Diceros bicornis minor: one gene and its partners. The protein of the gene in region 1 binds, or shares a complex with, the protein of each later gene. Links are inferred from orthologs where the notes say so. Each region holds a gene or a part of one and is shown in the gene's direction. Other genes may lie near its edges.

Region 1 (7,746 bases):
ATTCAGTACTTAAAGTACCTTTGTGATGTGAGTAGTTGTAGTCCCATCTATCAAATGAGGAAACTGGAAGCTGAGAGGGTAAGTAATCTGCCTAAGATAAAACTGATAGCTAATAGATCAAGATTGGAACCCAAGTTTGCCTCCTTACGCTGTCCATTTTCAGAAACTCATTTAAAAAACACACAGATATCTGCCTTGATCATAGCAAAGTTTACCTTTAATACTAAAAAACCAAACAAAGCAAAAATATACACACAAACATAACTTTAAAGGAAATTAAGATGAGAAAGAAAATATACCTAACATCCTGCTAATCTGACAGATCAAACCAGGACTTTTTACCATGTTTCTTCACAACTCAGTATTAAATAGATACGCTGACAGGATGAGGGGGGTAAAACTCTTGTGAAAGAAGGAAAGTTTAGGGAGGTAGCTAATAGCAAGATAAGTCTATCTGTTAGAGTGCAGGACTCAGACTTGGCTGGGTTGCTGGCTTTGGCTCAGAAGTCTCTTCAACATCTGTTATAGATTGATCCTGCAGTTAAAACCCTGCTGGAAAAGATAGTGGACCCTATGTGAATTCTTTTTTTATTTGACCATACAGAGACTTGTAACTTACGACACCCATCCCACCATGTTTGTGGTGAGCACTAGGGGTTATGGGAAAGAGCTTAAGAATGCTTGGAATGAATGAATCTGAACTCTTAGCAAAGGGACTGAAAAATAACATAGGAGAAAAAACTGAAGAACAGAAGAGAAGAAATGGAGGACCATACTGAGCCCTTGGCAACAACTCCTGAAAGAGGAAAAAAGGGGAGGAGAGGAGCTAAATTATCTTGAAGGCCAAGCTGTATATCTTGGTTACCTGAACTAGTCTTACTGCATGAAGGTACATCTTAGTGATTTCTTTGAAGAAGTAGTACACTTTGCTTTCTGTAACAAGTCATAGAGAAGTTTACCAGTATAACCGAAATTCTGTATTGCTGTTCCTTCTTTTTTTATTGAGGTCACATTGGTTTCTAACATTATATAAATATTCCTTCTTTTTAAGCTGCATTTATATAATTATTACTAGTAATTGGACCTTAGGTTATAACATCTCTGTTTAGTGATTAAAGGATTCATAAGTGTAGAAATCTCATTCTTTAAATGATTGGGGAAAATCATTAGACTTGAGATTTTTGCTTTGCAGCGACATCTAAACCTTGTGCTCTAAAGGCAGATTTTAAAAGGCAAAATACAGTGCATGCATGACTTTCTGAGGACGATCTAAGTTACATGTTACTAAGGTTCTTAGGGACAGGGATCTAGCATAGAATGAATTCAGCGCTGGAAATTGCAATTTAGAAATATGATGCTTGTCTTGATGTGTTCTGTTGCTCTGAGCAAGTTGTGTAGGCCATTATCACCTGAGAAATCCCTGTAAATGGCATTAGTAATACTTTATAAGTAGGTTGGGAGAATTAATTTATTTTTCTAAAGCATTTTGAAATCCTTAGATGAAAGGGTCTGTATGGAGCAAATTGGTATCAGCCTGTTTTCCTTTCTCTGAGCCAGGAGAAAATAAGTACCTTAGGGTGGGAAGGTTGGCTTGTCTTTTAAAGTTCTTTTATAAATTGCTTTTATTGAATATGAAGTGGATATTAGAAGCTCCCAAGAATATGGTTAATTATAAAAGCAAACTTTTTTGGATTTGGGACTTAGAATTAACTGTGTATTTTCATCCAAGATTTAAAACAGGTTTAAATATTAGTTTGTAGTTGGCCAGACTTGGAGGGAAAATATGGCCCTTTGATGATCCTGGGTCCCAACTTTGTTTTCCTCCTGCTTTTTCTTTATTTCAGAGAAGGGATAAGGCTGACTTTCTGAAAAGCAGTTAACTTTTATTTTCGATTGTAGGATCTATTTCTTCCACTAATCTATGAAATTAATCTTTTGCTGCCAAATAACTTGCAATAGGTGCTGGGACAAAGTTTTTCATCTACATTCATTTATACATTCAAATATGCATACTCAAATGCCTCCATGTGAAAACAGCTTTGCTTGGAATATTTAAAACCAAGTTCTTGCTGTAGAGAAGCTAACAGTCTAATAGGCAGGATAATATCTATGTACAAGTAACCATAGTGCATGGTGTTTTTGAAAAATGTATGTTTCTTCCTGAATTACCCCTACTTAAAAAAAAATGGTGGACGACTAGTAATGTAAATATTTTGGAGTGACTTAATACTGTTTTGCTGTTCATGCATTTGTGAAAAGCTTTCTGCTAATGTCAGAGAATAATGAACAGTCTACATGCATAGCAAGGAAGGGAAGGGGAAACTCGAGTTGACAGGTGCAGTTTTGCCGTCTCTTGTCTCTCTGTCTCTGTCACAGGGGCACCTGTTGCAGTGGTTAAAAGCTTTTGATCTTGTGGGTTCAGAGTGTGCCTCTCGTTAAAAACAAAATGTATTCCTTTCCATTGTTACATATACTTTGCTACTTGTGTGACTGATCAGCTGACCCCTTTCTCCAACTGTACAAGAATTTTCAGTGAACTAGGTAGTGGGTGAATTTCCAATGAACTAGGTAGTGGGTGCATTTTCCAACCTAGATTAGTTACCTGATTTATACATCCTTATTCGCTTTCATATTCCTTAGAACAGATTTGTGTTTAAAATCTTCATAGCTTTGCTCACCTTTTAGGGTTCGGATTTACTATCCATTTAGTCTTTGGCCTTTAGCCGTTGGGAAGCTTCCAAATAGACAGCTCTTTTGCAGAAACCGTACCCAGTTTATTCCATCCTTGAGTGGTGGAGAACCAAAGATCACTTGAATAATACGCCCCACCCTTCGCACATGCGCTGGAAGAGACGCATCCCCAAGACGGGCCCTCCCTCCCACTATGGGGTAGTTTGGAGGGGATTTGGCTTTTGAGGGCCCCCGAAGGTAAGTGTGCATTTGTATATTGAAGAATGAGTTCCAAACAACCACCTTGCAAATGAACCCTGCGAGTTCGGCCGATTTGTAATGGAGGTTCTGCGTTTCACAGTCCTTGGCTTTACGGGCAGTTTGTAATCTAGCCAGATTTAGTTCTCAAAAAAACAAAAACAAAAAGACACCCCACCTTTTAATCATATTAAGAACGAAAAATGGAGGTCGACCTAGTGGCAAGATGACAGCGAATGTTTTAGAGCGCAGGACCTTTAGTCTCCCCGCAATTTTGTCATAACGTTGTCCATCTGTTTCTTTGAAAGCTACATGACACTGTTCGTAAACGCTAAAATAATAGCTGTTGCTTGAACGGATACTCGGCGTTGGGACCCATTATTGCGCGCGTTCTGTGCGCGGCCGCGGGCTCGTTCGCGAACGCGGGGCCTGGGGTCTGCGGCGCAGCGGGCGGCAGCCGGCGGGAGGTGGAGCGAGCTGGGGGCGGGAGCGGGGGCGGGAGCAGGGGCGGGCCTCCGGGCCGCGCCGCCAGTGCGCATGGGCGGACGCCCTCCGCTCTAACTGACCTCCTCACTTTCTGCTGTTGTGGGAAACGTAGCGAAAGCCGTTAGCTGAGCATCAGCAGTTGTCGACATGTTTGATGAGAAAGACTCTCTGAAGGAGGGCGTGGAGAAAAAAGAGGAGCCGGTGGTGAGCATCACTGGTAGCGCGTACTCTGTGAAGCAGGCGGAGGAGGACGGAGAACCGATGAAGGTGGAAGCGCTGGGGCCTGATTGCTGCTCTGACGACCTCGGCTGTGGGGATGCCGCCATAAAACCAAACCTCCTAGGGCTCGAGGCTGACGAGGAGAAATGCCGGAATATCCGCAAGCAGTACCGGCAGCTCATCTATAACGTGCAGCAGAATCGTGATGACATAGTGAACAGAGCGAGCAACTCATTAACCGAGGCTCTTGAGGAAGCCAATGTCCTGTTTGATGGAGTGAGCCGAACAAGGGAAGCAGCCCTCGATGCCCAGTTTCTTGTTTTGGCTTCTGATTTGGGTAAAGAAAAAGCAAAGCAGCTAAACTCTAATACGAGCTTTTTTAATCAAGTAGCGTTTTGTGACTTTCTGTTTATATTTGTGGGTCTAAACTGGATGGAAGAGGATGAACATGATGAGTTGGGTGGCTGTGATGATAATATAGCTCTTTCCTTCTGGGAGACAGTACAAAAGGAAGCAACATCCTGGATAGTGCGAGCTGAAACATTCCACTTTATTTTTGGTTCGTTCAAGTCAGAGCCTTCTGCACCAAAGCCCCGGCTTGACCACCAGAAAAAAGTTCACAAAATGGAAGAAAACGGGGATATGCCTACAAAGCTGAGGAAGTTGGACCTGAATGGTAATCAAGAAGCGACAGAAAAAGAAGTGGAAAGAATCTTGGGATTGTTGCAAATGTACTTTCGAAAGTATCCTGATACTCCTGTGTCCTATTTTGAATTTGTGGTTGATCCAAACTCTTTTTCTCGTACTGTGGAGAATATATTTTATGTTTCTTTCATTATAAGGGATGGTTTTGCAAGAATAAGGCTTGACCAAGACAGGCTGCCAATATTAGAGCCAATTAATATTAACCAAATGGGTGAGGGAAATGATCCCAGTTCCCATGGCAGGAAACAAGGAGTTATATCTTTGAGTTTACAGGACTGGAAAAATATTGTGGCAACTTTTGAAATTTCAGAGGCTATGATCACAAACTCATACTAAAGATTTTTGTTCTTAGTATAGGATGCGTTTTCTGGCTTTTCTAATGTATTTCAAAATGAAGAGTAAAATCTGAACAGAAGCACATATTGTATCTCTTGGAAAGTGAAAAAGTATTTTCAAGAACGTCAGAAATTATTTTACTGTGCAGTGTATTTTTCTTGGTAGTTTGGTCTTCTGTTATTAAAAAAATGCACTGGCATGTTCATGAGAAAAATTTTTTGAATGCCTTTTAAGACTTAATAAAAATCCATTCTGAATTTCATAAATTACAAAGTATTTGGTAATTTGCCAAAAAATCACTTAGGATGTTCTGTGATATTACATTGCTTCCTCTTTTATAGGGAACCAAGGGAATCCCATATGGGGCTCCTAACCAGGTTGGGGGAAGAGTGAGTGAAAAAAATGGTCAAGAAAGACTAACCATAGGGCAGTGAATCTGCAATGTTGAGTGTAAAAAAAATTTAGATGCCATATACTTCTTTACAAAGAGGAGTCAGTAAGATTAATGAGTGGATATCTATAGTCTAAATAATTTCTCGTGATGGAACTCAACAAAGGTAGTGTGTCTCTACTGTAGTAGGTGAGGTGTTAATTAAGTGCTGAAAGCTGAGTAGGAATTGGTTAAAGACAGGAGAGGTGTTCTAGGCAGGGGAGTATGGAATTGGGAAAAGTTATGGCACCAGAGAACCATAAGATTTTTAAGAAAACTATTCCATTTCAATGTTAAACTGGGCAAAAATTGAATTAACTCGTATTTTAGTATTCTCAGAGGTAGAAAATATTTTTGTCAGATTATTTCAAACAAAATCTTTTGACATCCAGTTATAGTCTTTATCTACTTGGGTAGTTTCTTTGCTGGCTTCTTGTTTCCCTTGGTAGCTTCTGCTAGTACACAGAGTGTTGTTCAGAATCAGTGATGTTTCATTGTGTGACAGCCTTGACTATTTGTTCTCCATTCGATTTTCCATTTCTTAATAGGGCTTTAAATGCCTGGAAACCGTCCCTGTTTAAACTGAAATATATGACTAATTTATCCAAATGTTCTTCAATTCATATAAAGCCATGAAGGCTTTTTTTTCTTTTTGTTGCTTGCAGTTGTTTTAAGAGTATAAATTACAGCCTTATTTGGAGGTTACTGCCAAAAATTTGGATCTTTAAGAAAACAGTTTCCGAAGGTGCAGTGAGCATGCCTAGAAGCTTCTTTTCTTGATCCCTCTAGGAACTTAATTGTTGGTAGGAGTGGATTTTTACCATTAAACTGGTAAGTGGATAAGTATCTGTTTTGCATAGCAGTAATGATAAACTTTCCTGCTAAGTCAAGTGGGATGTAAAGGGAAGGGAAATCCAAAGACAGAACGAATGACATCAAGATTGAGAGGAGAGATCTTATATATGTGTGGGGAAGGTTCTTCACCAGTAATAGTGGAGGTTTTTAGCAAAGAGAGAAATTTCTCATGAAACTTGGCCAGTTATTTCCTAGTCGTTCCTTCCCCTTTATCGTGTGAAGGAGTGCTAACCTTCGCGGTGTCTACCACCACCCTTTGATTTAGCAGTCATGGAAGCATCGTTTGGTTTCTCTGATCCTCACTTAGCATGTCTCTACCAGCTGAGTTCCTTGGGTTTTCCAGAGGTTTGCTGTTTGAGGAAATAGTACTCTTAATGATAGCAAAAAGGTGTTGCCTCAGTTCCTTACTCACCCCCAGCTTGCTCTGTTAAATGCCTAGTGTCTTTACTAGGATATTTGAAACTTAGTGATGATTAAAAGCATTAATAGATAATCTGGAGGTTTGTGGAGACAGTAGTTTTTTAGGTCTTCTCTAAAGTTATAGCTGTTAAAATATAAATCAAGTATCTCTTGTTTCTATTTTTACTGGTTGTCATGACACCTGGGTTGTCTCATCACCTTGAAATTAAAGCGACTGCTAACCTTGAAGAAAAAAGGAAAATTGACCAATAGATAATTCAATTATAGAGATTAAATATGAAGCAAACTGCAAATCTACTGGTTTCCTATTAATATAGTTAGAGTGGCTTAAATTTTACAGGTTCAATAAAATCAACTGAATTTTAGGAGAATATTATGGAAAGTTCTTTAAATTAGAACTTTATTGTATAACAGAACCACTTTCTGATCAAAGGATCTGGGATCAGATCTTTACTCTCTAACATTCTAGTTAGAGACTTGGGGAAAATTACTGAACCTGTAAACCTTGGGTTTTTGATTTGCTAAGTGGGAATAATACCTATCCCTTAAGTTTACAGTAAGGATAAAATTAGGAAATGTATGTGACAAGTACTTTGAAATGTGAATTACTGGGTATGGTGTAGTGAGAAAAGCAAGAGATTTGTGTTTCAGTGGGTTCAATTCTTGAAGTTTCTTAATCTCTAAGGCCTGCTATATCATCATTTCTGAAACGGGAATGACATCTGCTTGGAAGACTATTGTGAGGATTAAGTGGGATAGTAGATGTAAAACATCTAGCACAGTGTCTGGCTCATCGTGAGCACTCATGTTAGTGCCTCACTTTCTGGGTCAGGGTCGGAAAGCCCATGCTGCCACCTCCTTCCATGGTGACATCTGTGTCATAGTTCAGTTACTTTCCTTTAAGTCTGGATGTGACTTCCTCATAGTCTTGCCTTTGTTCTGGGGAATCCCATACCGAGCACTTGGAATTGGCACTTTGTTAATTTACTCAGTGCCACTGTGCCAGGAACTGCTCTAGGCACTGATGGGAAAAGTGGTGGACAGAAAATTGCCCATCTCTCGTGGAATTCTTATTTTAGTGGGTGTATTAGTTTCCTATTGCTGCTGTTATCAATTACTGTTTAGTGGCTTAAAACAACACAAATCTATTATCTTACTGTTCTGGAGGTTGGAAGTCAAATCGGTTTTTCTGGGCTACAGTCAAGGTGTCAGCAGGGCTGGTCCCTGTTGAGGCTCTGAGGGGAGAACCTGTTTTCTTGCCTTTTTCAGTTTTTGGAGGCCGCCTGCATTCATTGATTCACGGTCTCTTCCTCCATTATCAAAGCTGACAGTGCAACCTCTTCTGTTTTCACGTTTTCTACTGTAAT
Region 2 (7,746 bases), on another chromosome or scaffold:
ACCGTGAGGCAGGTTATTCCCAAGCAAAGGCGAAGGTGGCTAGGCTCATATCACCCTTCAGCTTGTTCGCTCAGAGGAAAGAGAACCTGTAAGAACTCCTGAAAGGATGATGATTGGACTTCCGAACCGGTCACTGTGGCTGGCCTGAATCACGTGCACCCAGGAAAAGGCGGCAGAGCCTTACCAAGGTCTCCCAGAGATGGAAAGAGGCAGTTCCTAAAGGAAAAGGATGCAGAACAAGGAGCAAAAACAAGCAAATAAAAAGAAACACACTGGCCACTACAGAGACGTTATGTGTTGGTAATTTTATAACTTAATAGGCCTTAATGATTTTCATAAGTAAAAGGCCCTGGGTAACGGAAGACTTATATTTCTTGAAAAGAGAGTCTAAGAAGAGGCTTCTGGACCAAATGGCTACAATGCTTGGAAAGAGCTATCTCCTCAAGCCCCACCTCTCCACCCCTTTTCCACCAGCCAAGGAAAGCTCTGTTGCCATTTAATCAAAGTATTCTTTCATGAGAGACTAAGTGTTATTAGGTAGTCCTATCACATAATTTAACCAGGATGCATCTTTGTTATGTATGAGTGGACACAAGGGATTTTATTGCAAGCATTAAAATATCTGGACTGTTTTTCCTGCTATCTACCCACCAAAATAGTATCCCGGGCCCCTCGCCAACTACTTTGCTCGCCTGCTGCACACTGTCCCACATTCTTCCACTGGAAAAGGCAGCAAAGCTGCTCATATATGGTGGCTGCATGCTTTTATCATTGCTTTTCTTCCCGCAACGACCTTACCTGCTTTTTGCGCTAGGTTGCTGTCAGAAAATTTAAAACCTGTCTCTGGTTCTGCAAGAAATGCCAGTGAATGAAGAGGAGAATCCAGTAGAAGATAAAGATGATTAGAGCTTCTTGGCAGGCATTTGCTACCAAGGAGATGAAATAAAGCAATTAATTACTGAGAGACATCTAAAGAGCAATTGGTAGTAGGCATTTCTTTGTTCAATGCATCTGAAATCTTAGCTAGCTTAGCTTTTGCCTCAAAGAATTATTATTTTTTTTTCTTTTGGGTCTAGTAATAAAAGTATTAAGGTCATTAACATAAAGTGTTTGAAAATGTTTTTCTTTTTTTAGCCACTTGTCTTTATTACTTCACTGGCTGAAAAAAAGTCACGAAAGTCATATTCAGATCACACTGAATTTACTGAAAACTTGAATTGTATAACTGCTATAGCATGGTTTCACTGTGAAGTTAAAATTCCTTGAGAATATATTTTTATCTGCCAAGAAAGATTTCATTTTTGAAAGAAAATAACTTTAATAGCATCTTGATATATTTCTTTCCAGACTTTTTTCTGATTTTTGTGTGTACTTGTGTTTTACTGCAGTAAACATCTTTCTACATACAGCTTTGTATAGTCCTCAAGTATTTTCCTTAACATAAACCCCCTGGAAAGAAGCACATGGTTATCAACTACCCTGTCCCAGCCCTGTGCTAGGACTTGGCAAACCTATCTCACTTAGTCCCCTGAAGCCTGGATGAGTAATCTTGGAAACAGAAAGCAGTGTCAGTAGCTTTCTGGATGTCATACAGGTTTCTAATATAGGTCCATCTGACTCCCAGATCTTTACCTTTTCAAGGACACCATATCTACCTTTTCAAGGACACCATATCTATGTTCTCTCTGCAATCAGCAGATGGTTAGGAGCGGTCTCTGGAGGCAGACTGCCTTAGTTCAGATCAGATCTACCACTTACTTGCTGTAGGACCTCAAAACTGTTAACCTTCTTCTCTGTGCCTCAGTTTCTTCATTTATGAGAAGAGAAACAGTAAATGCACAGGCCTCATAGGGTTGTTGTGGGATTAAATGAAGTAATACATGAAGACCACTTAGAATAGGGTCTGACCCACTTACCTTTGAAATAATCAGTAGCTGTTGTTTATATTTATTATTGTTAGTGTTATTATTACCACCATCATCACAACAATTTTTCCTCAAACTCCATGGCTTCCTGTGTCAATCTAAGGTGGAGGTGGGTCTGGGTGACTTCTCCATGCAATGCCTAAACTTCATTCTAATACTGTTATTTTATGTCTGTATTTTCTCACCTGCATTCTTCTGGACACAGCAGAGAGAGGTGTTTCAATACGTAAAACTGGTATCTTTTCTCACTCATTTTGAGTATGACAATCTGCTATCTGGGTAAAAGATGCAGCTGATGGACACTGCTGATTTTCACACAGTGAGTCACAGGGGTAGCTTGACCTGTGGGGCTACTTGGTAATTTAAGTGAATACCTTAGCAAGAAAAAACACTGAAAAACCAGCCCAACTGTTGACAATGGCTTTCATCTTATTTTCCATTTTTGTTATCTCTTGGTTGCTGAGTTTTTTTTTTACTCGGGGTTCAACATTATCTTTCTGGAGGGACTTTTTGCAGAATTCTTGATCACAGGAGGTTTCTTTGAACTTGAGTCCAAATTTTAATTTGCAAGGAAACTGAAGCAGATGAATTTTCTTATTGTAAAAAAATGAATGCCTCCATGATATATTTGTTTTTCTTAGTAGGCTTCAGTCATTAAGATTGATGCTTGGGGATTTATTGTTAGATCTTGTGTGGAACAGAAAGTTATTACTCATAGTTTACCAGATTTTAGCATACTTGCATCACAACACGGCATATCATTTTACATTTAGTATTGCAGTCAGGGCCATTATCAGATTGCATTTTCATATTGAATTACAAACAAAAATTTTATGCTACTAACATTTAATGAAATTTTAATAACATTGTGTTTTGGTGCTATTATTCAAATAATGTGTTTTGAATTGCTTCCTTTGAATATATTTGCATTAAAGAGGAACTCAATTTGATTTGGTTCTTTGAAGAGTTTACCCACTTTCTGGGTAGCTTTAAAAAGACAGAGGGAAATTCAGTTTCTTCTTTACAAGTCAGTAAATAGAAAAGCAACACATTTGCTAAGATCTGTAAAAATAGTGGCAGCAGATTGCAGATGGTTTGAGTTAATGAAATGACTCACGTTGGCTATTAGAGTTGCACAATAAAAAATATATATACAAAGTGCACACATCACAGATTATGAGGGATGATACTCCTGGGTTCTCTTTTCTTTCTCATTGCGCCCTAAGGCTGATATATTAAGAATTAAGAAATTTAAGAGATTCACATTATTGCAATTCTTGATCAGTGATGCCCAAAATTAAATGGTAATCTCTTGAGAGAGCACATTTCTGTTTGTAGCATTCTTCTTACCCATTTCTGCTACAATCGTAGTTGTGGGCCCAAAGGCAGTTTACATGAGCATGTGCTTTCCAAAGACAGAATCATTTGACCAAGCAAAAACCCCTCACTGAAACGTTCTTTATGTGGCGGTTTTGTTGTAGTTGTCTAACTGATGGAGTTTAATGCATAGAATAGAAATACTGAAAGAGTGAAAAGATGGGAAAAGTCCTGCTTGCAAGGCAAGCTCTCCCTTTACCACATTCGTTTTTAATGGTCACTTAGAGGCATTAGAGAAAGTAACTGGTGGTAAACGCTTAAGAGCTTAAATTTAAGGGAGGGGAGGGAGTAGCGAAGGCAAAGCCAACTAGGAGTCCTCCAGGTCTTTCACTCTTTTTATGTCCAGTTTTGTGCAGAAAGAAATGATTCTGCTTCACTTTCACGCTCTCACCTTCCTCTTCACCTTTTTTCTCCCACAATTCATCCTGAGTTCCCTCCATCTAAAAATATTCCCGATTTTAAACTTCTTTAATACTCACTTTCTATAGTACCTGCCTGAGCCTGTGCGGTCCTGAACTCAGCCGCACACTCATTTAGGAGTTTTGGCTCCTGTTCTCTATTTGTAGGGTTTAGTAAGGACGCCACCTTTAATCTAATGTGACCCACAGGACTGCGCAGACACGCCTACTGCTTTCCGCCAACGCGCGGCGGCCGCCCCACTCCCCGACGCAACGCGTAGCCTCCGTGACGCAGCGCGCAGCCTCCGTGACGCAGCGCGCGCCCCCTCCGGCCCCGCCCAGGGCCGCCCCGACGTGCCGCGCGCCGACCCACAATCCCCGCCGTGCACTGTTCTCCCGCCGCCACCGTCCGTTAGGGCGAGCGCCCCGCCTGCGGAGTCGGCGCTGGCGCCAGGCTCCCGCCGCCGGTGACATGCTGCAGAAACCGAGGAGCCGGGGCCGCCCCAGCGCCCAGGCCGAGAGGGTGAGGGACGGGGGCCGCGGCGGAGACGGCCGGGCCCCGAGAGGCGGCGTCGCCGAGGAGGCCCCGAGCACCTCCCGCGGGGCGGGCGGCTCGCAGGAAGTCCGCAGCACCTCGTCGCAGGGCGCCCGCGGGGCCGAGGCCTCCCCCGCGGTGGGGCCCCGCTCGCAGAAGCAGCTGGAGCTGAAGGTGGCCGAGCTGGTGCAGTTCCTGCTGATTAAGGACCAGAAGAAGATCCCGATCAAGCGGACGGACATCCTGAAGCACGTCGTCGGGGACTACAAGGACATCTTCGCGGACCTCCTGAAACTGGCCGCGCAGCGCCTCGAGTACGTCTTCGGGTACAAGCTGGTGGAGCTGGAACCCAAGAGCAACTCCTACATCCTCATCAACACGCTGGAACCCGTGGAGGAGGATGCCGAGGTGAGAGGCGACCAGGGCACGCCCACCACCGGCCTGCTGATGATTGTGCTGGGGCTCATCTTCATGAAGGGCAACACCATCAAGGAGACCGAGGTCTGGGACTTCCTGCGTCGTCTAGGGGTGTACCCCACAAAGAAGCATTTGATTTTTGGGGACCCAAAGAAACTCATTACTGAAGACTTTGTGCGGCAGCGTTACCTGGAGTACCGGCGGATACCCCACACTGATCCTGTGGACTATGAATTCCAGTGGGGCCCGCGAACCAACCTGGAGACCAGCAAGATGAAAGTTCTTAAGTTTGTGGCCAAAGTCCATAATCAAGACCCCAGGGACTGGCCAGCGCAGTACTGTGAGGCTCTGGCAGATGAGGAGGCCAGGGCCAGGCCTGGGACCGGTGGCCCAGCCCCCTCCTCTTGAAATCTGAAATAGATTCACGGGGACTCCTGGGGGAAGGGTCAGAGGCACAGTGCGGAGGCCTGAGAGTTGGGGAGGGGGAGCATATTTCTCTAACGCTTAAATGTGTGTAGCTTTACGATGTGTTTGCAAACTTTTGTTCATATTGTAAATTATTTGGTTCCAAATTTTCACTTATAAAAATATTAGGGGAGGATTCATTTTGTTTTGATTTGTTTGACTGACTGTATTTTTTGGTATAAAAATTTTGCTAGCTTTATAAAATTAATTGGGAAACTTTGTACCATGATCTGGAACAGATATTTAAGAAAGAACACATCAGTAAATTGCTTTGGTGTCTAGAAAATAAAAGCGAAGTGGCTATTATCTGGCCTCTTAACTACCAACTACCCCAGTTTGTAAAGAAAAATAAAAATCTTTATAAATTAAAAATAAAGATGTAATTGCCTATATTCTTTTTTATCTTAGCATAGCTATTTTATATTTATGTACTTTATACGTATATATAAGCATTATGCCTTGTTCTAAGCAATGTATGGCATTTTCTCTGAATAACAATTTTTTTACATTCATAATTACTACTCAGCTCTGTGGCTGACTGTTTATTTCCATTTAGGTTTTTTTCTACTATAGTTACAGTAAATACTATATCTTTGAGGTAGTTAAGCATTCTGCATCTTTTAAATTGTGAGTCATGAGAAATTAGTTTCAGGATTCAAAACCAGCGTCTTGAAAAAAATGATTTTTGCCATGTATTATTAAGCTAAATAGTGTTTTATAGAAGTTACCTTACTTTTATATGTGTGTGTGCATATTGGATCATGATGTAAAATATATTTCTTACTTTGGGTTATAAAAAAGTTGAGAAAACTTTTATTGATTAATCATGCCTACTTGGAAATGAGACCACCTGGGTTCAGACCCTGGCCCCACGTAACTAGCTATATGAATTTTGGCGCGTTACTTAACTTGCATACAGACGTTTCCTCACCTGTAAAATGGGCTGATGATGCCTGTATTATGTGTAGTACTGTGATTATTAGATATGGAAGTATATGTAAAGTTCTTGGCACAGTGCCTGCTGTGGAGGATTTTAGGTGTTACTTTGTTCCTTAAAATTTTTTTAAATTTGTTTTTTATTCTCCTTGATCTGGAGTAGTTAATTTTGTTAAAGGATTTCTTTCATTATGTTGTTGTAAATCATTCCTACAATTGGAATTACTGGTTCAAAAATTATGACAATATTCTTCTAGTCTGCCTCTATTGTATGGGTTAATGGGGAAACATAACTCATGATACATGGTGAGTATAGCCCACATAAAATAGTAAGAGCAGGAAAGTTAGAGGACGATCTCCCCTGGGCTTTGAGAGGTCCTTGTAGTACAGTGAATAGGATACGGTTTTTGGGGTTGTCTGACAAACTGAATTATGGCTCAGAAATATGGCTATGTCAGCATGGTGATTTGGGGTAGGTTTTAAGCTCTCTGAATCTCAATTTCTTTATCTGTAAAATGGGAAAAATAATAACTATATGATAGTTTGTTATATGGATTAAATGAGCCCAAAGAAAAGAGCTTATTGTCTTCTCTCGTATTCTTCCACAGCCTCTGGCAAAATGCTGTTTATATACAGAGTTTCAACAAATAATTATTCAGTGGGTGAGTAAGTATAATTGTTTGGGGGGCAGGTACTGCAAATTAACCATGAAATGAGGTAAATACTTTAGCTCAAAAAAGAAGTGTGGACTTGGTCAACACTGGACTAGATGTCATCTAGAAGAGTCTATGGTGGGTGTGTGGTCCATGGAGGAATGTGATAGGTTACTGGGTTTTACGTCATTCTGTTGAATTGAAATTTGCATTTATTTCATCACTGGAGTATAGTGTGTCCTTGAATGTGTTTCTGGTTTGCTTTTTATTTCCACATATAAATTACCTTCTGGCTAAGCATCCTGCTTACTGGTCCCCTTACCTCACTGACTGCTTTTCCCTCTGGTGTGTTCTAATACTGGCCTTTTTTGCATCTGTATGGTGAAAGTTATCGGTACCCCGCACCCATTATCAGTTACATCTGAGGCACATATCTTCTGCCACACTTTTCTCATAAATATGTTAACAATTTACCATCAATGAATTATTACTTTGTTTTAGATTTTAAAATATAAAACATTACAGACCAGATCTTGCCCTTATCTTTTCTTCTCACCCTTACCAGAGATGTCGAAAGTTTGTGAATATCGTGCTATTGTATGATTTAATAACTTTTACTGTGTACCTGAACAATATAGAGTAGTGGTTTCTGAGCTTTTATAACTTATATAAGTAGTAGTATACCGTATCCTTTTGCAACTTGCTGTTTTCACTCACCATTGTTTTTGAGATTCAGCTCCGTAGATCTTATGAAAATTTGGCCTTTCCAGTCATTCTCTGGGTATGTAGTGATAATTTATTGTAGTATTAACTTGCACCTCTTGCTTACTAGAGACATTAAGCATCTTTTGCTTTTTTTTTTTTTGCCATCAGTTTTTATATGTTAGACTTTTAGACTTTTTCTGTTTTTATCGATTTGTAAGATTTCTTTATATGTTCTGCATGGTAATCATTATCTGCTATATCTAATGCAAATACCTTCTCACATTTTCACTTTTTCTTTTTTGTCTTACAGATTTGATTTTAATATGTCAAAATCA
Region 3 (7,746 bases), on another chromosome or scaffold:
CCTGTGTAGGCCCCTTCCCTAAGTGTGACTTACTGACTCCCTTCTAAAGAACAGAATACGGCAAATGTGAAAGATATCACCTCTGAGATTAGATTGCAAAAAGACTGACTTCTGGCTTGGCCACCCTCTCTAGCTTGTTTGTCGTGGGGGAAGCAAGTTGTCACATTGTGAGAGAGCCATGGAGGAGCCCATGTGATAAGGGATGGAGAAGCTTGCCAACAACCACTGGAGTAAGCTTGAAAATGGATCCCCAAAACCTCAGTTGAGATTTCAGATAAGAGAACAGCTCCTGTTCACAGCTTGACTGCAACCTCTCAAGAGACCCTGAGCCAAAGGCACCTAGCTAAGCTATACCCCTGATTTCTAACCACAGAAACTATAAGATAATAGATGTTTATTAAGCCACTAGGTTTTGGGGTAGTTTGTTATTTTACAATAGATAATGATCTTGGAGAAAGGCATTCCAGGCAGAGGTTACAAGTAAGTGCAAAGGCCGACATGTGCCAGATGCACTTAAGGAATAGCAAAGAGGCTGATATGGCTGCTGTAGAGTGAGCAAGGGATAGAAGCAGAGATCAGGGAAGGTGGATGGGGTTGGGTCTGATTGTGACTGAGAAGCCACTACAGTTGTCTAGAACTCTCTCTCATGAGGGTATCCTATAAGACACATTAAGGCATAAAATATTAACAATTCTTTTTAGTTTTCTCTGTGATGCTTGCTTGTTAAGCCACATTGATCTCTAACAGGCTAAATTTCAGATAATTTCATACCATTTTTTTTGCACTAATATGGTCTGGCTTGGAAAATGAGAGAGGAAAAGGGGAAAAATAATAAACAATGGGCAAAAGAGTCACCTACTGAGGTCCTCTGAAGAATACTAAACCAACCCAGGTCTCAGCGGGATGAAACCCTAGACTCAATTGAGAGGAGGGTAAGGTATGATTAACAGGTCTAACTGCTACCAGATTTTGGACACCAGTATAGGACAGACAATGAGGCCATGGAGAAAACAGCTCAAAGCAAAGCAACATTACCTGCTTTCTTTCCCAACAAACAGATGGACAGATGTACTCAGCATCTGCATACACACGGTCAGGGAAGCTTAGACCTGAGATAATGACATTAGTCAAGACTTTGGTGTATCCATCTCTTAGTTTAATCCTTAAATCCTTACTCCAGAGTTACATTGTAGGCAACTTCCAAAATATTATCTGACTAGAGTATTTGGTAAACAGCCCCACTGTTGGCTGAAAAACTGGCCCTAAAGAACAAAATCTAAGAACCATCATTAGAGATGCCTAATCATGTTGCAGCCCTCTCAGAGGTAGGTGGCTTCATAGAAGGTGTTAAGACTTAGCTGAGCTTTAAAAAAATCACTCTAAAATGAGGTGCAAATAAACACTGTAGAAGAAGCTATATTAAATCTTCCTCTTAGAGGTTCTCTTGGTGCTAGGGACGAAGAAAATTCATAAAGACCAATTTTCTCAGTATAGACTGTATCACTATTTGGCATAAAATGAAGCCAGAGACCAAACTCAATTTCCTAATTTTCTTTTACAAGGTACCCAGAAAGGTGGTCATAACTTTATTTTCAAGAATTTGGTAAGGAATTGTAGTTTTCAGTTTGGAAAGTAATCCTGGACAAAGGACAATATGCTTTCAAGAATGAAGCACCCGGCAGTGGCTTAGTGGTTAAGTGCGCGTGCTCCGCTACTGGTGGCCGGGGGTTGGGATCCCAGGCGCGCACGGACGCACGGCTTCCCTGGCCATGCTGAGGCCGCATCCCACATACAGCAACTAGAAGGATGTGCAACTATGACATACAACTATCTACTGGGGCTTTGGGGATAAAAAGGAGGAGGATTGGCAATAAATGTTAGCTCAGAGCCAGTCTTCCTCAGCAAAAAGTGGAGGATTAGCATGGATGTTAGCTCAGGGCTGATCTTCCTCACAAAAAAGAAAAAAAAGAAAAAAAAGAATGCAGCACGGGATCATCACACCAATTACCCAATGAGTACAGAACCAAATTCTGAAGGAAATAAGTTGTCCTAGGACAAAGCACTGTTTACCCTACTCAGAGGTCAAAAGAAGATAGGTCTATTTTTATCCTTTCATAAAACCTCAGTTCCATAAAGAAGGAAGCACTGGCCTCCACAAATCCATTATCAGGAACAAAATATGATGATTGTTGATCAAGATAAAAGTGACCAACATATCTTTTCCAGAAAAGTTCTGAAATGAGTCTGATCACTATCAGCTGATTCATGAGGAAAAACAGAAGAAAAACCGGAAAGTGTCCTTGTTGGGGGCAGAGGCAGTAAAACCGCTCTCTCCCACCCCCTCACCCCCGTTACCTACATTGGAGGGAGCTCCCTGCACTTGGAATCAGGAGACCCTATTCCATTATGGCCTCTGTGAGGTGTGTTTTTTTTCTTTTTACTGTGAGACCATAGTGAAATCTGGACCCTCGGAACGTTTTTTCGAAATGCAAAGGACTTTGGCACCAGCATGTCACAGGTGGGGGAATTAAGGTGCAGAGAGGAGCAATGACTTGCCTAAACTCACAGCCCATGGCAGAACTAGAATTCAAACCCAGGTCCCTCACACTGTAAAAGCGCTCACTAACCACTCCGATTTCTCGCGAGTAAAGAGAGGAATAACGACGTCCACACAGCATTGCTTCCGAAAACTTGGAAGGCTCAGATGCGGGTCAAGCAGCTGAACATCACTTCCTAAAGCGCCACAGCGGCGTGGAAAATTATTTCCATCTAAGTGGAGATGAAGAGGCTGGGCTGCAGCCCCAGCCCCAGGAAGCCCCTCAGTCCTCCACGCCAGGCTCCCCCATCCAGACCCCACTCCACGCGCAGATGCCCGCGGGACCAGCGCGGCCCAGCCCCGGGACGGGGGAGGGGAGGGGGGCCGTGAAAGGAGGGGGCACGCGCGCCCCGCCCGGACTCACCTGTCACCCGGGCCGCGCCAGGGCGCACGCGCGGGGCCGGCGATCGTGCGCGGAGTCAGCGCCGGAGTCCCCGACCCTTCCCTCTCCGCTGGGGTCTTCTACCTCCAGCCCCGGATCGCAAGCCGGCCAGAACCCGGCTTCCGCCCCTGGCTCCCGGGGCCATCACATGACCACAGGGGAGGAGAGCAGAGCGGGGTGTCATGTGACCACTCGCGGGCAACGGCTGATGACGTCGGAGCCCGCGCTCGCAGTTTCAGCGACGGGGCAGGGAGTTAAGGAAGGAGTGGGGGTCCGGGTGTGGGGAGTCGGGGTGCAGCCAGACGGAGCTAGGTCGGGCAGCCAGGTAAGGCAGAGGCGGGGGCTGGCGATGGGGAGGGCGGCGGGAGGTGTCGCCTCCCTCTCGGGCGCTCCGCGGGTGCCTTGACCTGGGGTCTGTCGACCTGGGTTATGGTCCTGGTTCTTTTCACGCCAGAGCAGTGAGGCTGGGACAGTTCACCTCCCTCTCCGAGACGCCATCTGCCCATCCTTCAGCCCTAAACGTGTGGGGAAAAGATGACGAATTCTTGATCCAAATAAATCTGGTTTGGACTGTCTTTAAAAGCAGGGCCTTGGGCGTGTCGTTTAAATAAACTCTCTGGGCCTCCGTTTCCTTTTCTCGTATGTAAATGGCTGTGAGGATTAGCGACAATGAGAATGAAGCCCGGGGGCACCGGTTTATGGCACACCGTGGGAGATCTGGAAATGGTGGTTGCTGTTATTGTTGTGACTCTGGCCAGATCTTGACTGATCGTCTATTTTGTGTCAGGAGCTGTTTCAAATGCTGTAGAATATGTCCGAGTTCTAGTTTAAGTTGCTCCCAGGGTGAAGGAGTGGCAGACATGTGAGCAAAGAGTTGTGATGAGTTTTATTGAGTTTTTTAATAGAAGTGTGTGCGTGAGAGAGAAGGAGAGAGAGAGGGAGAGAGGAATAGTGGCAGCATAAGGGAGGGAACAAGCAATTGCTTATATAGATAAGGGAAGGCTTCATCAAGAAACATGTGTTCCTGCATCTTGAAAAAGGAGCTACAGCTCTGGCTGAACTTGTACGGACTCCCATGCCCACCAAGGAGGTGGGCATAGTGCCTATAAATTGGTTGCTCTGTGCCTACCACTGTGCTGTACAGACAGAGAAGAGGAGGGAACAGTAGAGAAGAAATGGTATTAGCCAATAATGGGTCCTGCCTGCAGAGAATCTTATAGACCTGCTATGGTCTGAATGTGTGTGCGCCTCCAATTCAGATGTTGAATCCTAATGCCAGTGTGATGGTATTAGGAGGCGGGGCCTTTGGGAGGTGCTTAGGTCATGAGGGTTGAGCTCTTGGGAATGGGATTAGTGCTTTTATGAAAGAGGCTGCAGAGAGCTCCCTTGATCCTTCTACCAAGTGAAGGCAAAGAGCAGAAGGCATGGGCTGTGAACCCATGCCTTGATCTTGGACTTATAGCCTTTAGATCTGTGAGAAACAGATTTCTGTTGTTTAAAAGCCACCCAGACTGTGGTATTTTATTACTGCAGCCTGGATGGCATAAGGCAAGGCCTGTTTACGGGAGGCAAAATAACATGCTAGGGAAAAACTGGGGAAATGCATAACCTTGTTTTAAACTTTGTTGGAGACCATAGGTACAGGGAACAAAAAGATCATTGATTGCCACCTGGGAAGGCTCCAAGAGGAGGCTGATTTAAACCAGAGTTTCTCAACTACTGCACTATTGATATTTCGGACCACATAATTCTTTGTTGTGAGGGCTGTCCTGTGACTTATGTACTTAGCTGTACTTTGTGGGAGAAATAGGGAAAAGTGTGTCTACTCCATCTTTGTGCCCCATCCATTCTCTTTGCTTCTTATCTGAATCGTTTCCGTTGATATACTCACAGAAGGCAGTGACCGTGTGTTCCCTAGCTCTCTGCAAGTATAAAGTTTCATTGGAGTAATGTGAATTATGAATTCAGATAATAAGGATAGCTACCATGTGGTAGACACTTTCCATTTATCCCAGATTGTATTAATCCTTGTGTACGTTGTGTCTTAGTCAGCTTGGGGAGAGACACAATCAGAGACACAAGATGAGATTTATGTGCTGGGCGTTGTTCTTAGTGTGTTGTTATCTATATTAACTCATTCAATCCTCACAGTAATCCTTGTGGTAGCCACTGGATCATCCTCCTTTTACAGAAGGGAGAAGTGAAGCGTTGAGAGGTTAGATAATTTGCCTAAAGTCTTTCAGCTACTTAAGTGGCAAAATCAGGCTTTGAACTCGGGTACTCTGGCTTCAGAGGCTGGGTGTTTAACCCCTACTCTGTATTGCCTTCATATTCTGCTCTGTAATGTAGCTAATGATGGTTCATGTTATCTTTAGGTAAAATTGATATTCCAGGAAACATATCCTGTTTATTCTGTGGCTTTGCCCCTTCTTGCTTACCCCATGGTTCATATATATGGTATACTTGGATAATTGTGTCTCTAGAACCGTGCTGACTAGTGCAGTAGCCACTAGGCACATGTGGCTATTCAGATTTAAATTGGTTAAAATTAAATAAAATTTAAAACTCAGTTCCTCAGTCATGATAACCACGTGTCTAGTGCCCTAGACAATTTAGACTTAAACTGGAATCAAGACTGACTAGAAAACTGAATACTTGAACCATATGATTTGATTCTTGCAGGATTGTGTTTTTTTGAGTAACAGTTGGTGCTGTAACAGGTAAGCCCCAAAACCTAAACGGCTTTGCACAATTGAAGTTTTTATTTCTTTCATGCGTGGAGCCTGATTGGCGGGCAGTTTTCCGCCAAGCAGTGATATAGGAACTAGGGATTCTCCATCTTCAGTATAGAGCATCTAAGGTCACTGTGCTTGCCTGTTCAAGCTATCAAATGGGAAAGAGTGTGGAGAAAGTTTATATAGACTGGGCCTGGAAATGGCTCATATTTCATTGCCTTGAATTCAGTCATATGGCCATAGCTAACTGCAAGGAAGGCTGCAAACTGTGGTCTAGCTGTATAACCAGATTGAAGAGGAAATGGGTTTGGTGGGCACCGAGCTGGTATCTACCCCAAGTGTCCTGTCTTTAGCTTACCCTGAGGAATAACCTAAGAAACAGTCCTAGGAAGCTCACTGTTGCATTTATTGTAAGGATATTATTGAGAATATTTTTCAGTATGAGTTTTATTGTCTTATATATGATGGTCCACACTGCCTTGATTGCCATGGAAAGCCTTATTTTTCCCAAGTTCCTGATGTACTTTTTCTTTATGGGGAAAGAGGATTCTGTAGCTTTCACTTTTTGCTTTGATTGTCAGGAAGCTCATAGCCAAATTTGTATTACACATGTAGTAAAAATTTTCTTCTTTACCTGTTTTCCCCTTTAGTTTGTTTTCCATCCTGATTTTCATGCATTTATATTATATATTTCCCATCTTACTGCATATATTTGTATTTATATTGTGTTAACTGTCTCAGCTTGTTTGGTGTAATAATGTGAGACTGTAAATAAATACTCTTTCACCAAAATGCAGATGTTCAAAAATCATCAATGGTTTCTCATTTGTATTCATAGTCATATTTTTTCTCTCTCTTTTGGTGTGGAATTTTAACATCACAGAAGGTCCCAGAAAATAACATAATGAGAACCCTGTTCTATCATCCGGATTTTAATATCTATAACATTTTGCCATGTTTGTTTCAGTTCTTGATTTTTAAGATAAATTTTTAAAAAACAGATAAAGCTAAAAGTCCCATTGACTGCCCCCCTGGACCCAACTGGACCGATTCTTTATCCTGCACTTAAGACCCTCTACGTTATGCTCCAAAACATTACTTACTGAATATTTGTTAACTGAATGATTTGAATTGAAGAAGAGTTGTATTGTGGATGTTTGTAATAGACTAAAACCTCAAAAATAGAGATCAGCATCATGGGCATCTTTTCTATGCCCTTCCCTTTGTATACCCTGTGTCTTTTTTAGAGTCTAATGATTGACATGGTAAGGCACTCAATACCTATTTGTTGAATGAATGAATGAATGAATCTAATTGAAAAGGGCCAATAGTTAAGAAACTACTGTAGTACTCCAGGTGTGAGATAAAAGTGGTGGCAATGGAGAGGATGGAAATGCCAGAGATACTAGACAGTTTCCCATGTTAGAAAGGAAGGGCAGGAGGGCAAGTCCATGCTAATTAATTGTGTACTGTGTGCTGGACCACATTGTGATATTCCTTCTCATTTTAGAGACAGTAAACCTGAGGTTCAGAGAGGTTTATGCAATCAGCCCATGGTCACTCAGTAGTAAAGTGACAGAGCCTGAATTCGTGCTCTGTCTATATGATTCTAAGAAAATACCTTCTTTCTGCTACCATACAGCTTTCCCATCCCTCTAAGCCTGTATAAATTCTCTCCACTTTTCTAGTTGGTTTCAGTGGATTGAATTTCAGGTGGTTTCTGAATTAGGCAAAGACATCTGTAGACAGCTTTCCATAAGTAGTCCAAAGGTTAAAGAATTGGTGGTTGAAGGTATAGATTAGGGAGTGTTTAATATGAAGATAAGAACTGAAACTGTTATAGTGGATCAGATATCAGAAGATAAGAGTTTATAGAGAAATTCTGCTTTTACTGAAACAGAATCGGGGATCTCACCAAGTCTGTAATCTATTAGAACCCAGAGGAATTGTCAGGAATAAATATTTTTTAGTTTTCAGAATTCAATATGTATATATGTTAGATAAATTAAAAATTACAGGTTTTCAGAATCCTC

The links.
Region 2: EID3 (region 1) and NSMCE3 share a complex: the UniProt entries of both Homo sapiens proteins name them as parts of the SMC5-SMC6 complex. The link is inferred for Diceros bicornis minor from reciprocal best matches to the Homo sapiens genes EID3 and NSMCE3.
Region 3: EID3 (region 1) and NSMCE2 share a complex: the UniProt entries of both Homo sapiens proteins name them as parts of the SMC5-SMC6 complex. The link is inferred for Diceros bicornis minor from reciprocal best matches to the Homo sapiens genes EID3 and NSMCE2.

What each region holds. Positions count from the first base shown.
Region 1 is NC_080764.1:19,517,778-19,525,523, reverse strand, and holds the start of EID3 (EP300-interacting inhibitor of differentiation 3), read left to right. Parts: upstream 1-3,467; 5' UTR 3,468-3,561; coding exon 3,562-4,674; 3' UTR 4,675-7,746. UniProt on the Homo sapiens protein: Tissue-specific component of the SMC5-SMC6 complex, a complex involved in repair of DNA double-strand breaks by homologous recombination.
Region 2 is NC_080744.1:79,174,268-79,182,013, reverse strand, and holds the start of NSMCE3 (non-structural maintenance of chromosomes element 3 homolog), read left to right. Parts: upstream 1-4,078; 5' UTR 4,079-4,172; coding exon 4,173-5,060; 3' UTR 5,061-7,746. UniProt on the Homo sapiens protein: Component of the SMC5-SMC6 complex, a complex involved in repair of DNA double-strand breaks by homologous recombination. The complex may promote sister chromatid homologous recombination by recruiting the SMC1-SMC3 cohesin complex to double-strand breaks.
Region 3 is NC_080760.1:40,396,352-40,404,097, forward strand, and holds the start of NSMCE2 (E3 SUMO-protein ligase NSE2), read left to right. Parts: upstream 1-3,224; 5' UTR 3,225-3,303; intron 3,304-7,746. UniProt on the Homo sapiens protein: E3 SUMO-protein ligase component of the SMC5-SMC6 complex, a complex involved in DNA double-strand break repair by homologous recombination. Is not be required for the stability of the complex.